Cricetulus griseus: one gene and its partners. The protein of the gene in region 3 interacts with the protein of the main gene of each other region in a pairwise test. Links are inferred from orthologs where the notes say so. Each region holds a gene or a part of one and is shown on either strand. Other genes may lie near its edges.

The links.
Region 1: the proteins of Rab6a (region 3) and Pmm1 interact in binary tests that used the Homo sapiens proteins (3 or more experiments, as listed by UniProt). The two-hybrid records come from large-scale screens. The link is inferred for Cricetulus griseus from reciprocal best matches to the Homo sapiens genes RAB6A and PMM1.
Region 2: the proteins of Rab6a (region 3) and Bicd2 interact in binary tests that used the Homo sapiens proteins (3 or more experiments, as listed by UniProt). The link is inferred for Cricetulus griseus from reciprocal best matches to the Homo sapiens genes RAB6A and BICD2.

The regions. Positions count from the first base shown.
Region 1 is NC_048595.1:379,087,714-379,091,359, forward strand, and holds the end of Pmm1 (phosphomannomutase 1), read right to left. Parts: intron 2,263-3,646; coding exon 2,187-2,262; intron 1,486-2,186; coding exon 1,370-1,485; intron 1,027-1,369; coding exon 904-1,026; 3' UTR 359-903; downstream 1-358. UniProt on the Homo sapiens protein: Involved in the synthesis of the GDP-mannose and dolichol-phosphate-mannose required for a number of critical mannosyl transfer reactions. In addition, may be responsible for the degradation of glucose-1,6-bisphosphate in ischemic brain.
Region 2 is NC_048596.1:269,172,661-269,176,306, reverse strand, and holds part of Bicd2 (protein bicaudal D homolog 2), read right to left. Parts: intron 168-3,646; coding exon 1-167. UniProt on the Homo sapiens protein: Acts as an adapter protein linking the dynein motor complex to various cargos and converts dynein from a non-processive to a highly processive motor in the presence of dynactin.
Region 3 is NC_048596.1:98,905,410-98,909,645, forward strand, and holds the start of Rab6a (ras-related protein Rab-6A), read right to left. Parts: upstream 2,837-4,236; 5' UTR 2,405-2,836; coding exon 2,335-2,404; intron 1-2,334. UniProt on the Homo sapiens protein: The small GTPases Rab are key regulators of intracellular membrane trafficking, from the formation of transport vesicles to their fusion with membranes.

The DNA of each region.
Region 1 (3,646 bases), on a different chromosome or scaffold from region 3:
ACAGGTGGACCCCAGGGCCACCCAGGCCTCCCTCCTGTGAGCAGGCCCTCTTCAGGCATCATTTTGAAGCTGCCTGAGTAGCAGGGGGCATCAGGCCTCCTCCTCTCTCCTCTCAGGCCCTGCAGTATCGAGTCCCCAGCCACGGATTACCCATCCCCTCCTAACACTGGCAATAAACTCAACTGTGACCCACCCTGCCTCTGAGTGGCCTGTCTGTGAGAATCCTTGGGTAAGGGGCTGAGGAAGGACACGCATGTTGGTCATGTTCAGGCTTCAATGGGTCAAAGACCTCCTGGGGCAAGCCCCTGTCCCTGACCGAAGAGCATGTGACAGGAACCATCATAGCTTCAGACACATCTAACACCTTGTCTTGGGAACTTTAATCTGTGACAGTCCTTTAATCTGTGACAGGAAGGTGCCCCTTCCCTGTCACTCCTCCCTTGTCAGTTGTGGCCAGCACGGTCCATAGCATAACTCACATGCCTCCCTCTGGGGTGAAACCTATTTTTTTTGTTTGTTTGTTTTTCAGGACAGGGTTTCTCTGTGTAGCTTTGTAGACCAGGCTGGCCTCAAACTCAGATCCACCCGTCTCTGCCTCCCTAGTACTGGGATTAAAGGCATGCACCACTATCTCCCAGCTGGGTGAAACCTATTCTGTTACAGAAACCAGCAGCATCAGAAGCCAGGGGCCATCAGTGGAGTGCAGGAATAAGTCTTATTTATGGGGAGCCACCTGGCTTGGGACAGTTGCCACAGACCCTTGTCCTGTGTGAGTGGGCCTCGTGGTGCCCCACATGATGCTACATGCTGGTCCAGAGGAATGGGAACCTTGGCACTCCATGGTTCTCTCTTCAGGCCTAGCCAGAGCTCTTTGAAGGTCCCAATGCTTAGCTGTGGTCACCGTCATGCCTCATGGGCTGTCTCTGGGAAAAAAAGTTCTCGGCATCGTTGTACAGTATCCTGAGGGGAGACCACACTATGGCCGACAGTCCGGGGGTCCGCATAGATCTCAAAGTCATTCCCACCCTGCATTCAGAGGAAGGACAGACAGAGAAGAGATGATCTTAGGTGATGCCTACAGGACAGGAGGTGCCCAGGATTGAGGCCCAAGAGCTACCCTTCCCAAACTGGCTCCTGCAGACTTGCCCCTCCTCAGACCTGCCAGGAATCCCACTCTCCTGGCTTCTCAGACCTGCCCTGACTTGGAACAAGCATCTAGTCCTTCTTGGGTCTTAGTCTTCTGAACTGCAGAGTAGGAACAGTGAGAGTCTTCTGGGATGCTCTGAGAGGTCTTTGTTCTATTGCCCTGTGTCCTGGCCTTGAGCTCAGGTGCTTTGGGTTGAGGGGAACTGGGTAGGGTCACACTTACAGGACTGGTCTCATTGCCAAAGAAGTGGATGATGTCGAAGCTGTCCTCATCGAGACTGTCGAGGCAGTAGCGCTTATCCCAGCCTTCCGGGAAGACATCGAAGCTTATCATGCCTCCTGTGGATGTGGGGAGTTACGACAAAATCCTGGGAGGGACAGACAGGGCTGGCAGCTTGTCAGGGAAGCTCACAAGGCTAACTTGGGCAAAACATGCTTTATTTTTGAGACAGTCTCATGTACCCAGTTTGGCTTTGTACTATGTAGCCAAGGATGGCCTTGAATTCCCCATCTTCCTGTTCTACCTCTCAAGTGCTGGGGTTTCAGACCTGTGGCAGCATGCCTGGCTCTAAAGCACTTAGTTCATTCAACAACGCTGAGAGCCATCAAGGGCAGACTCAAGATCTGCAGGGTCTCATCCAGGCAGGCAACAGGCAGGAGCAAAGATGCGCTCACTCAGCCAGCATGGCCAGTGAGACCCAAGGTGACAGCTCTGAGCAACAGAGTGACACAACTATAGATTCTAAGTGACCGAGGCACCTTTTCTCCCCTCTGGCTACTGGGGAACAAGCCGAGATGGCAGCTGGGATTACCATATGCCCCAGGCATCTCAGGGGAGCAGCCAGAGCCAGAGGTTGAATAGAATCAGCTTTGGAAAGATCTGCAGAGCCCTTGACTGATATTCAAGCCAGTTGAACTAGGTGCGGGAAGGGTGGGGACCACTGGACATCAGGTGGTCATTGAAGGAAGTGAATTTTGCCTAAGGGCAAAATTGGATAGTGTCTGTTGCTGTGCCTGAGCCCACCGCAGGAAAGACATACCTCGCGAGAACCTTAGCCCCTTGCCAGCAAACTCTGTCTTCAGGGCTTCCACAAACTTCTCCCGGATCTTCTCCTTCTGTGCAGGGAAGAAGGGTGCATATTGGCTCAGAGGGCCCATCTGTATACCGCACCTGGAACCATACCTCACCAGCTCCCTGGTCTTCTGGGCGAATACGGCCCCCACTTTACAGATGGGGAAGTGGAAGGTCACCTTGCCTTGTTGTCAGTGCTGGGGCTTAGACCCAGAAATCGGTGACACCCATTAATAGGAGTATAGAGGCATAAGAAGGGGGAGGGCATGGGAGTAGAGCGTCTTGTCAGGTCAGGCAGGACCCACCCTGAGATCTACAGGCTGACTGGGTTCTAGGCCTGGTGGCTATGCTGGTTAGCTTTGTGGCCCTAGGCAAGTTACCTGACCTCTCCAAGCCCATTTCCAGAACTAAATGATAGAGGAGTAATCAGTGGCCACCGGCTGCTTCTCCCTCAAGCAAAAAGGCTGAGAGATGTGAGCTCCCTGCTGGCCTTGACTTTACCTTCCCAGCAGGTAGTGTGGCCAAGAGATAGCACTGTGGGTGCTCACACTCACTCACAGCCCAGGGCTGGGGGCTGCACTTCCCTCCGTTAGCTGATGGCTGGTCATCTGACAGCTTCATATACCAAGCCCAGCCCTAATGTGCCCAGCTTCATGACCCTAGCTAAGCTCCTGAGGACAGGGTCCTTATCTAAAGAAGGCGCCTTGCCACCCCTCCCTGGAGTCTGCAGGAGGTTTAGGCAGGCCTGTGCCATTTGGACTTTGTACAGGAACACAGTTCTCAGAAACATCCACACATCCCAATCCTAGAGGAGGGGAAAAAGAACCAGAGATGAGGGAGAGGGCTGGGATGCCAGCCATATCGCAGCCTCCCCTACTGGTCCAGGCCAAGTTAATTACCTGTTCGCCATCCCCATCCGGTCAGTAAAGCTGCCTTTCCAATCTTACTTGGTAAATAGAGCTGGGACTCCCCGAGGAACATGGGAAGGGGCCATGATCATCCTAACTATTCCAACAGGAAAAGTCCCTTATTCCTGTGTCCACTGCCCCCTGTAGGCCTCTGTACACTGTGGGAGTTGCACCGTCAAGACCTACCCACTCTCGGAAACACCCAGGACCAGTCAGCCTTATCAAAACTATACTCTGTGACCAACTCCTTAAGTGACCCGGGATGAAAGTCACTACTCTGAGCCTTGGTTTCCACAGCGATACCATGGGAATAAAACGCCTGTTCATCCATTCAAAAGCATTTCATGGCAGGCCAACAGGAAGCCTCAGGTTGGAGGCCAGGCTTCACTGTTTCAAAAAGAAAATGTTTCTTGGGGTGGGGATGTTGTGGATCCGTGGTAGGGAGGGCGCTTGCCTAGCATGTATGAGGCCCTGGGATCCACCCCCAGAACCAGGAGATTCTGTGCAGGACATGTAAGGG
Region 2 (3,646 bases), about 170 Mb from region 3:
TGAGTGTTGGTGAGGACATTGCGAAGCTGCTTCAGCTCTGTCTGCAGCTCCAGCACCTTCCTCACATAGTACTGCTCTTTGGAGGCTGACTCCTGGATCAGGCTCTCCTCCCGGCTCTCACCATCAGCAGCCACCTTTTTGTGGTTTGTGTGTGCTTGTCCAAATGCCTGTGTGCACAGAAAAGACCTTCATGAGATGGGTGTCCCTGGGCCACAAAGCAATGGAGGCCTAAGACCACAGGAACATAGACCTGTGAAGCAGTTCCATGCTGTGCACATGTTAAAACACACATTGAGATGTGTGTAGCAGGCACGCTTCACGTTTCATTACATTGAGTGAAACCAAACTAGTCTTAGGAGCATCATGTGGAGTGACAGGAAGGAACACTAAGAGTATAGGGTCACAGACATAGGTGGAATTTCCTTTGTAAGGGACAAAGTTTGAGGCCTGATGATGTGTGCCAGTTGGAAAGTTCCCAGGACCAGGAAGCAAATGGTCTATACTGTGAGCTTGGCCAAGCTAATGGGAAACAACCCTAGAGCAGCACACCCAACATACATTCCAGGCTTACAAAATTGTGCTAGCCATTACATGCAAGGGGTGAGGAGCCACTCCATCCTGCTACCTGATGTCAAATCATCCTTCATTTGGTCTGGGACAAACCAGGGCTGGGCCCCCAGCCCTAAGGACAGGGCACAGTAACAACTAGCTAGAGTAGCCATCTCAGGGTACATAGGCACAGAGATGCATGTATCTGCATGCTTCAGACACTGGGGTGAGGAGCAAGGTGTGGGACTCTAGGACTCAGGAAGAAAACCTACAAAGTGAGAGCAACAAGTACTGGCCTCACCCACAACACCGTGCCAGTCACACACTGGGCCCTGGCCAGCCTGGCCTCCATTACATACCCCACTGAGAGGCTGAGCTATCTCCTTGGCCTTCCTTGCCTGACTCTTTATAGGAGTCATAGCTCATGGTAAGAAACAATAGTAAGAGAAGAGTTACTAAAGAACAAGAATATGATGGTTTTCACTAGATTTAAAAGAGAACAGGACTATTTTCTTTCATTTATGACTTCATAGGTCTGGGAACTCAGTCCAAGAAAACAATAAGCAAAACATACAAAGCTACATTGTACAGGGATGCTACTGAGCTGAAGCAGTTTCTAACACTAACACATGAAAATGCAGAAAGCAATTTTCATCCTGATAGGGAACTGGCAGAATGGAGCAGGGTCTAGACTGAGGCATAGGCCGTGTCCCAGACACTGTGAGAAGGCCTCCCAAGGGGCCAGAGGATGCACAGCCCAGTAGACCCAGGGAATGTATCAGAGGGCAACTTGGGGATCACAGTGTAACACTCCTGCAGGGGACTGGATTCCCTCACAAGGTAGCCAGGCCTTGCCCATGTGCTCTCAGTCCTCTAACAGAGCATCCATTCTACACAAATCAAAGCAGCTCAGATTTGTGATTTCTGTCTGTTTGCTTTCACCCTGATCCTAGGGAAGGATCAAGTAACACATTGCTACCTGCACAGAACTTGACCCATGCTACCTGTCCACCATAAGACACACAAAGGGAACCAGACACCAAACTGGCCCCCAACTCAGGGCTCTGGGACTGTACTGAAGAGTCCAGCACCTGTGGCTGCTTAGGACACACCCATAAACTTGGGAGTTGGGGCAAGGACTTCTCAGAACTTTTCCCCAAAGTGTGATGGCTAAGCAGCGTGATACAATCTTCAAGCCCAGGCCTGCCAACCTGGGCCCCAACTCTCTTCCTCCACCCAAGCTACCAGCCTAGGGCACAGGAGCAGCCCTGGACAGCTTTTCAAACACACTGATGGAGACATCTACCTCCAACTGAGAAGACACACAGTCACAAGGACAGGTTCCACTTCCTGTGTAGGAAAAGAACTGGAAAGCACAGGAATAGTCTGATGCAACATGGCTGGTGAGATGGCTCCGCAGGTAAAAGCGTGTGACGTCAAGCCTGACAACCTTTGTACTAAAACTCAAGACTCACGTGGCAGGAGAGAACTGACTCCCCAAGTTGTCCTATGACTTCCATATGTGTATTATGGTATGTGCAGGGCATGAATGTGGTATGTGTCCACACACATACACACAAACAATGTTAAATATGATAAAATAATAAGCATCAGTTTTCAAGTCTGTAATGCCAAGTAAAATGACAGGATGAGGAGAATCCTGCAACATCCTTCACCCCTTCAGATGGAGCTTGATGGCAGGACCTGTGGAAGAAGGTGTCTATTGACAGGGACGTAAGGGCAGCCAGAGCTCAGGCCCAGAGTGAATCTTTACTGAGGATGGTCAGTGTAGGGCTGGGGAAGCCAGGGGAAAGGACCATATGGCAGAGCAGGAACAATATCCCTGCCACAGTCTGAAAACAAGCCTGTTCCCGCTAGCCAGACTCACAGGCTTGGGGAGAGCATGTCTGGGGCCTGGCAGAATCAGCCTGGATTACACGCTGCTCTAGCACAGCAGAGCCAAGTGTAAAGACAGACCATGAAAGGATTAATCCATTTCCAAGCCACTACATCCTAGAACAAAGCTCAGAACACATTCAGGAAAACAAACACATCCAGCTGCCAACAGGTGAGCTCTACGGTGAAGACTTGAGGAAGAAAGGATTAGCAGACAGCACACAGCTCTGAGCGGCCCAGAAGGGCAGGCAGGCTGAGGGCCAGGTACCAGAACCAAATTCTCAACTCAGAAGCAAAGAACAAACACAAGACATAAAGGATGCCAGTAGAAAGAACTTGTGAAGAGGAAAGGCAGGGACAACAACAGACACACCATGCATCTGAGGGATAAACCAACTCTGGAAGACAGCCAAAGTGAATGCCCAAATGGAACAAAAACAATCAAAGCAGGGCCTAACAAATCCATGAGAGCAACAGTGAGGTGCGCGTCAATTACAAGGAGCCTGTCTATCAATTCCTCACAATGCCAGTCGAAGGCCCAGCAGCTTGCAGTAGAAAACTGACGAGAGAAAGAGAGAGAGAGAGAGAGAGAGAGAGAGAGAGAGAGAGAGAGAGAGAGAGAGAGAACCTCAGATCTGAGCATGATAGTCAACAGTGAATGCATGTAATCCCAGCTACTCAGGTGGCTGAGGCAGGAAGGTAGAACAGCCTGGGCAATAGAGATGGGCCCATCTTGGGAGAAAGAACCACCACAAGTGGGTTGGGGAGACCTTGGCTAAGTGGGTAGGTACAATGCTGGCCATGTAATAAGGACCTGAGTATGAACTGCCCAAAGCTACATAAAGACAAGATGTGGTAGTGTGTGCATCTGTAATCCTAGCTTTTCATTATTTTAAAGTACAAGGGCTGAGAGAGGCTCTGCAGGTAAAAGCATTTGCCATTCAAGTCTACTAACCTAAGTTCAATCCCCAGACCCAGGTAAATAAAGGTGGAAGGAGAGTCAGTTCTACAGAGTTGTCCTCTAACTTCTATAAACACACACAGACAGACAGACACAGCGGCATGTGTACACGGGGTGGGGGCGGTGGATAAATTAAAAAAATTAAATACAGTATATTCATATAATGAAGTACTACTCCCAATTAAAAAAAAAAAGTTGATACATCAACATAGATATACCTCAAAATCACCACAGTGGAAA
Region 3 (4,236 bases):
TTAATTTACTAATGGCTGAAGATACAGCTTAACTTGTATAGTGCTCATTTAGCACCACATAAAACTAAACATAGTGGCAAATACCTGTAATCCCAGCACTTAGGTAGAGGCAGGAGCATCAGATATTCAAGGCAAATCTTGTCTATACAAAGTTCATGACCAGCCTCATTACACAAGACTGCCAAAAAAAGAAATTAATTTCAAAACAGAAAAAAAAAAGAAAGAAAAATGGGTGCAGTGGATCACCCCTGAAATCTCAGCACTCAGAAAGTTGAGGCAGGAGGACTCCAAATTTGAGGCCAGCCTGGGCTAATAAATGTAATTCTACCTTTTAAAAAAAAAAAAAAAGCAACGAAAAAATAAATTAGAAGTCATAAAACTAATATGTGCAACATAAACACTCAAGAAATTCAAAGGAAACCTGCACATAGTTACAAGTTAAGATCTCTCCTCACACTAAAAGCTTCAATAGAAAGATTAATGGATTTTGTGAAAACTAAGTAGTCCTATACACAATATGAGGCAGTCAACCATCTTCCTAGACTGCATAACAAGTACATTCAAACCTATTTATTAATAATGGCCAATGAACTTTATTTTATATATGGGACTGTCTTCAAATTGCCATGTAACACTAACTGGCTCAGGATCAACTTCACAGGTTTCACCAAGTTACTCATCTAAGAAAATGTGTATTTTATTTAAAATTTTTTTATTACTACATTAAATTTTTTTTGTAGGTGGGTGTTCATGGAGATCAGAGGACAACTTCTGAGAGTTGGTTCTCCCCTTCTTTGAATTTAGGACGTCAAGTGTGGTGGTAAGAACCTGTTTTACTCACTGAGCCACCTTGCTGACCTGGACATGTCTATACTTAAATATTCATAAGCAAACAGGAGGGAGACATGATATTTCCATCCTACAAGGTTGCAAGGAAGACAAATCTAAACACACAAGAAAAATTATTTCCCATGTCCAGCTAAAGGCAAAATTAAACCAGTGTTGACTTGATATAAAGTTCCAAATTGGTATAAATAGTTCAAGCTAATAACAAAACCTAAAATATGGAGGGAAAAAGGAAGATTATAATCTGAATTGTTGTTCAGTTTGTATAATACAAAATAAAGCTGTTGGCATATGTAATCTTAATGACAACCATCACAAAATTAGGACCTTGTATCTAATAGGAAGTACAGTGACTGCAGAACCTTGACCAGGTAAATGACTGTACAATTTCATTCACAAGACTCTATGAAATATTAGGCATAAGATAATCAGTTAGCTCAAATGGTATTCAAATCTAATTTAGAGAGCTGGATGATGGCTCTATTACTGACCTACTGCCCAAAGGCAATCCTACAAAACAAAGATGTTTATTATTTTAATTCTTTTCTCACTTGCATCTTAAACATGTAACTGGAAAATACTCAAGAAAAAATGAATGATTAACATTTCACCCCTTAATCCCTGCTTGCATCATAGATACTCAAATGATGTTCCATGTTGAAATGAGAAAAAAAATGGAAGAGAGGTGAGAAAAATTCGAAGTACACTGATCATGACATAGCATCTGGCAGAGATCGAAAAGGCATCAACACTGCCAAAAGAATTATCAATGATGAAAATCAAAAGAAAATAAGGTTTTTCCAACCAGTCCCAACCTAAGGGACAAAAATCGTCACTGCCAATACCACCTCTTTTCAAGTCGCCTCGAGTTGAATATATTAACTCTCTTAACCCTAATTCTTCATTTAGGTGAAAACTGGGTGAGAATTGTGTTTTTCTACGACCACCACTTCCCACCTTCTGGAAGACCTGTACAACTCAGAGCCAAACCTCAGGGGAAAACAACGCCCAAATCCCACCCTCCTTCAGCCAAGGTTGAAGAGGGGCCTGTTCCCAGGAGTGGGGGGCTTCCCGGAATGGGACCTCACTCCCAGTTCCAGTGAGAACCGGAAAAAGGGCTGGGAATAAGGGTGGGGCGCCAGAAAGCCCGTAGGGGTAAAGGAGACCACGGAGAGCCGAGGAAGAAAGGGATGGACAGGAGGCTGGGCGGGGTGAGGACTGGGGAGGACCGAACGGACCGGGGAGGGCCTGGCTGCGGGCGGCCGTGTCCGGACGGCGACCCGGGGTCTAAGCTAAAAGCCCGATAGATGCTAGAGAGGAGCTGGGGGCGAGGAGGAGCTGGGTGAGAGAGCAGCCAGAGGACCCCGGAGAAGAGCTGGAGTGGGGGAGCGAGGCCGGCGGGGAGCCTCAGTGGACAGAAGGGCCGCACTGGGGGTGGTGCGGGGAAGCCGCGGCCCGCTGCCAGGAGCGGGGGAGCCGCGCACTCACCGCTCTGCTCCCCCAGGAACACCAGCTTGAATTTCCTCAGCGGATTCCCGAAGTCTCCGCCCGCGGACATGATGGAGCCGGAGGAGCCGCCGCCGCCGCCTCAGCCCACAGACCTCTCCCAGACCGCTGCAGCTCTAACCGGCTGACGAAGAGGGCCGAGCGGAAGGGCAGCCGCCGAGTCCTCTCGGCCCCTGCAGGGCCGGGCGAAGGGGCGAGGCTGAAGGGAGCGCGAGTCGCCACCGACCGGCGGCCGCCGCCGCCTCCCCGCAGAGTCGCCTAGCACCGTGCGAGGCCCGCGGCCGCGAAGGGACGCAGGGCGGTGTCGGAGGCAGCCAGGGGTGCGCTCGGGCTTCGCAAGCCTAGCGCCGTTCCTTCCTTTAGAACGCGGCGCCGAGACTGAGGCGACAGAGGAGGAAGAGGGTGGCGGGGCGAGCGCCGCAGACGCGTCTGGAACCCAGCACGCGCAGCGCTCGGGCTCCCACAGCAGCCGCCACCACCGCAACCCAACCCGCGGAGTGCGCGAGCCTCTGGCGCGGTGCGGGGCGAGTCCGGGCGCGAGCCTGCCGCTCCGCCGGCCTCGGGTGTGCGTGCGTGCGTGCGTGCGTGCTCGTCACCGCCAGCGCCTTCCTGGTTTCCCAAGCTCTCCCGGCTCCTCCCGTGCAGCGGAGAAAGGGGCCGCGTAGGTTTCGACCAGCGTCTGGAGAAGCCAGAAGGAGGCGGGACCGAGTTCCGGGTAAGTGAGGGGAGTGGGGCGGAGGGGGCGGATGCTTACGTCACTGTCAAGCTGAGCCAATCAGGAAAAGCAGAGAGCAGGCAGAAGGAGAGTGAGGTGGCGGCGCGAGAGCGCGCGCCATCTTCGCGCGGGGTGGGGGGGAGGGGGGGGTGGGGGGAGGGGGCGGGGCGGGAAGGCTGAGGGCCCTGGCGGCCATCGAAAGTGTGGCGCGCGATTGGAGGAGGGAGGAGGGAAAAGAAGGTGGGACGAAGGCGGAGCCGGAACCAAGGTGGGATGACCGCAGCAATGCGTGGGTGGGGTTGGGTTGTGCAAAGGTGTATCAAAGGTGATAAGAAACCTTAAACGTTGCTTCGCCTTCCTCAGTTCTGCCTTTCACCCACTTGCTCTGTCTTTCTAAACGAGCTTCCTTGCTCGGCATCTTCCTACCTACATTTTCCTCCGTTGTTCCGTGGAGTTTCGTAACTACCAGAAGCAGGTCCTCTCCATTTTGTGGGTGAGGAAACTGGAGCCCAGCAGGAGGAAATGACTTGCAAAATCCACATAGCAATGAAACGAAATCCAGGTTGTCTTATTTGAACCTCAGCTACCTCCTTATTGTTAAGCCATCTAATTCCTTGGTTCTCTGTTAGTTGGCCCTTCTTCAAAGGTATCCGTAACATCAGATGATGGTCATCTTCTATGTGATAGAAATGGGTTTAGATGTCATATAAATCGAACCCCTCATATTACAGATTAGAAACGACTGCCCACATAGGGATGCCCCTTTGGAAAAGACCACACAACATAGTAGAGGAGAGCCTCGATAAGATCTCAAATCGGGGAAGGAATGTGGACCGATCCTTTCCCCTGGAAAGCCGGGCCTCGGCATATTCTTGAGTGGGTCTCCCTTAAATTAGCCATTCCAAGCATTTCCATTTTCTTGCAGATTTGTCAACCTGATTCATGATCCAATAAGGTAATGGTGAATGCTATCAGAAAAAATGAACTAAGCATAGTGTGGACAATTACATAATGAATATAATTAAATGTAAGTTTTCGTCTAAATGGGATCACTTGAAAACAGTATCAGACAGAACTAAAATAAATTAAGTAAAGCATGAATTTTAGTTAATATTTTGATACTGATTCATTTGTTATAACAAGCATATCCTATTAATATAAGCTGTTAA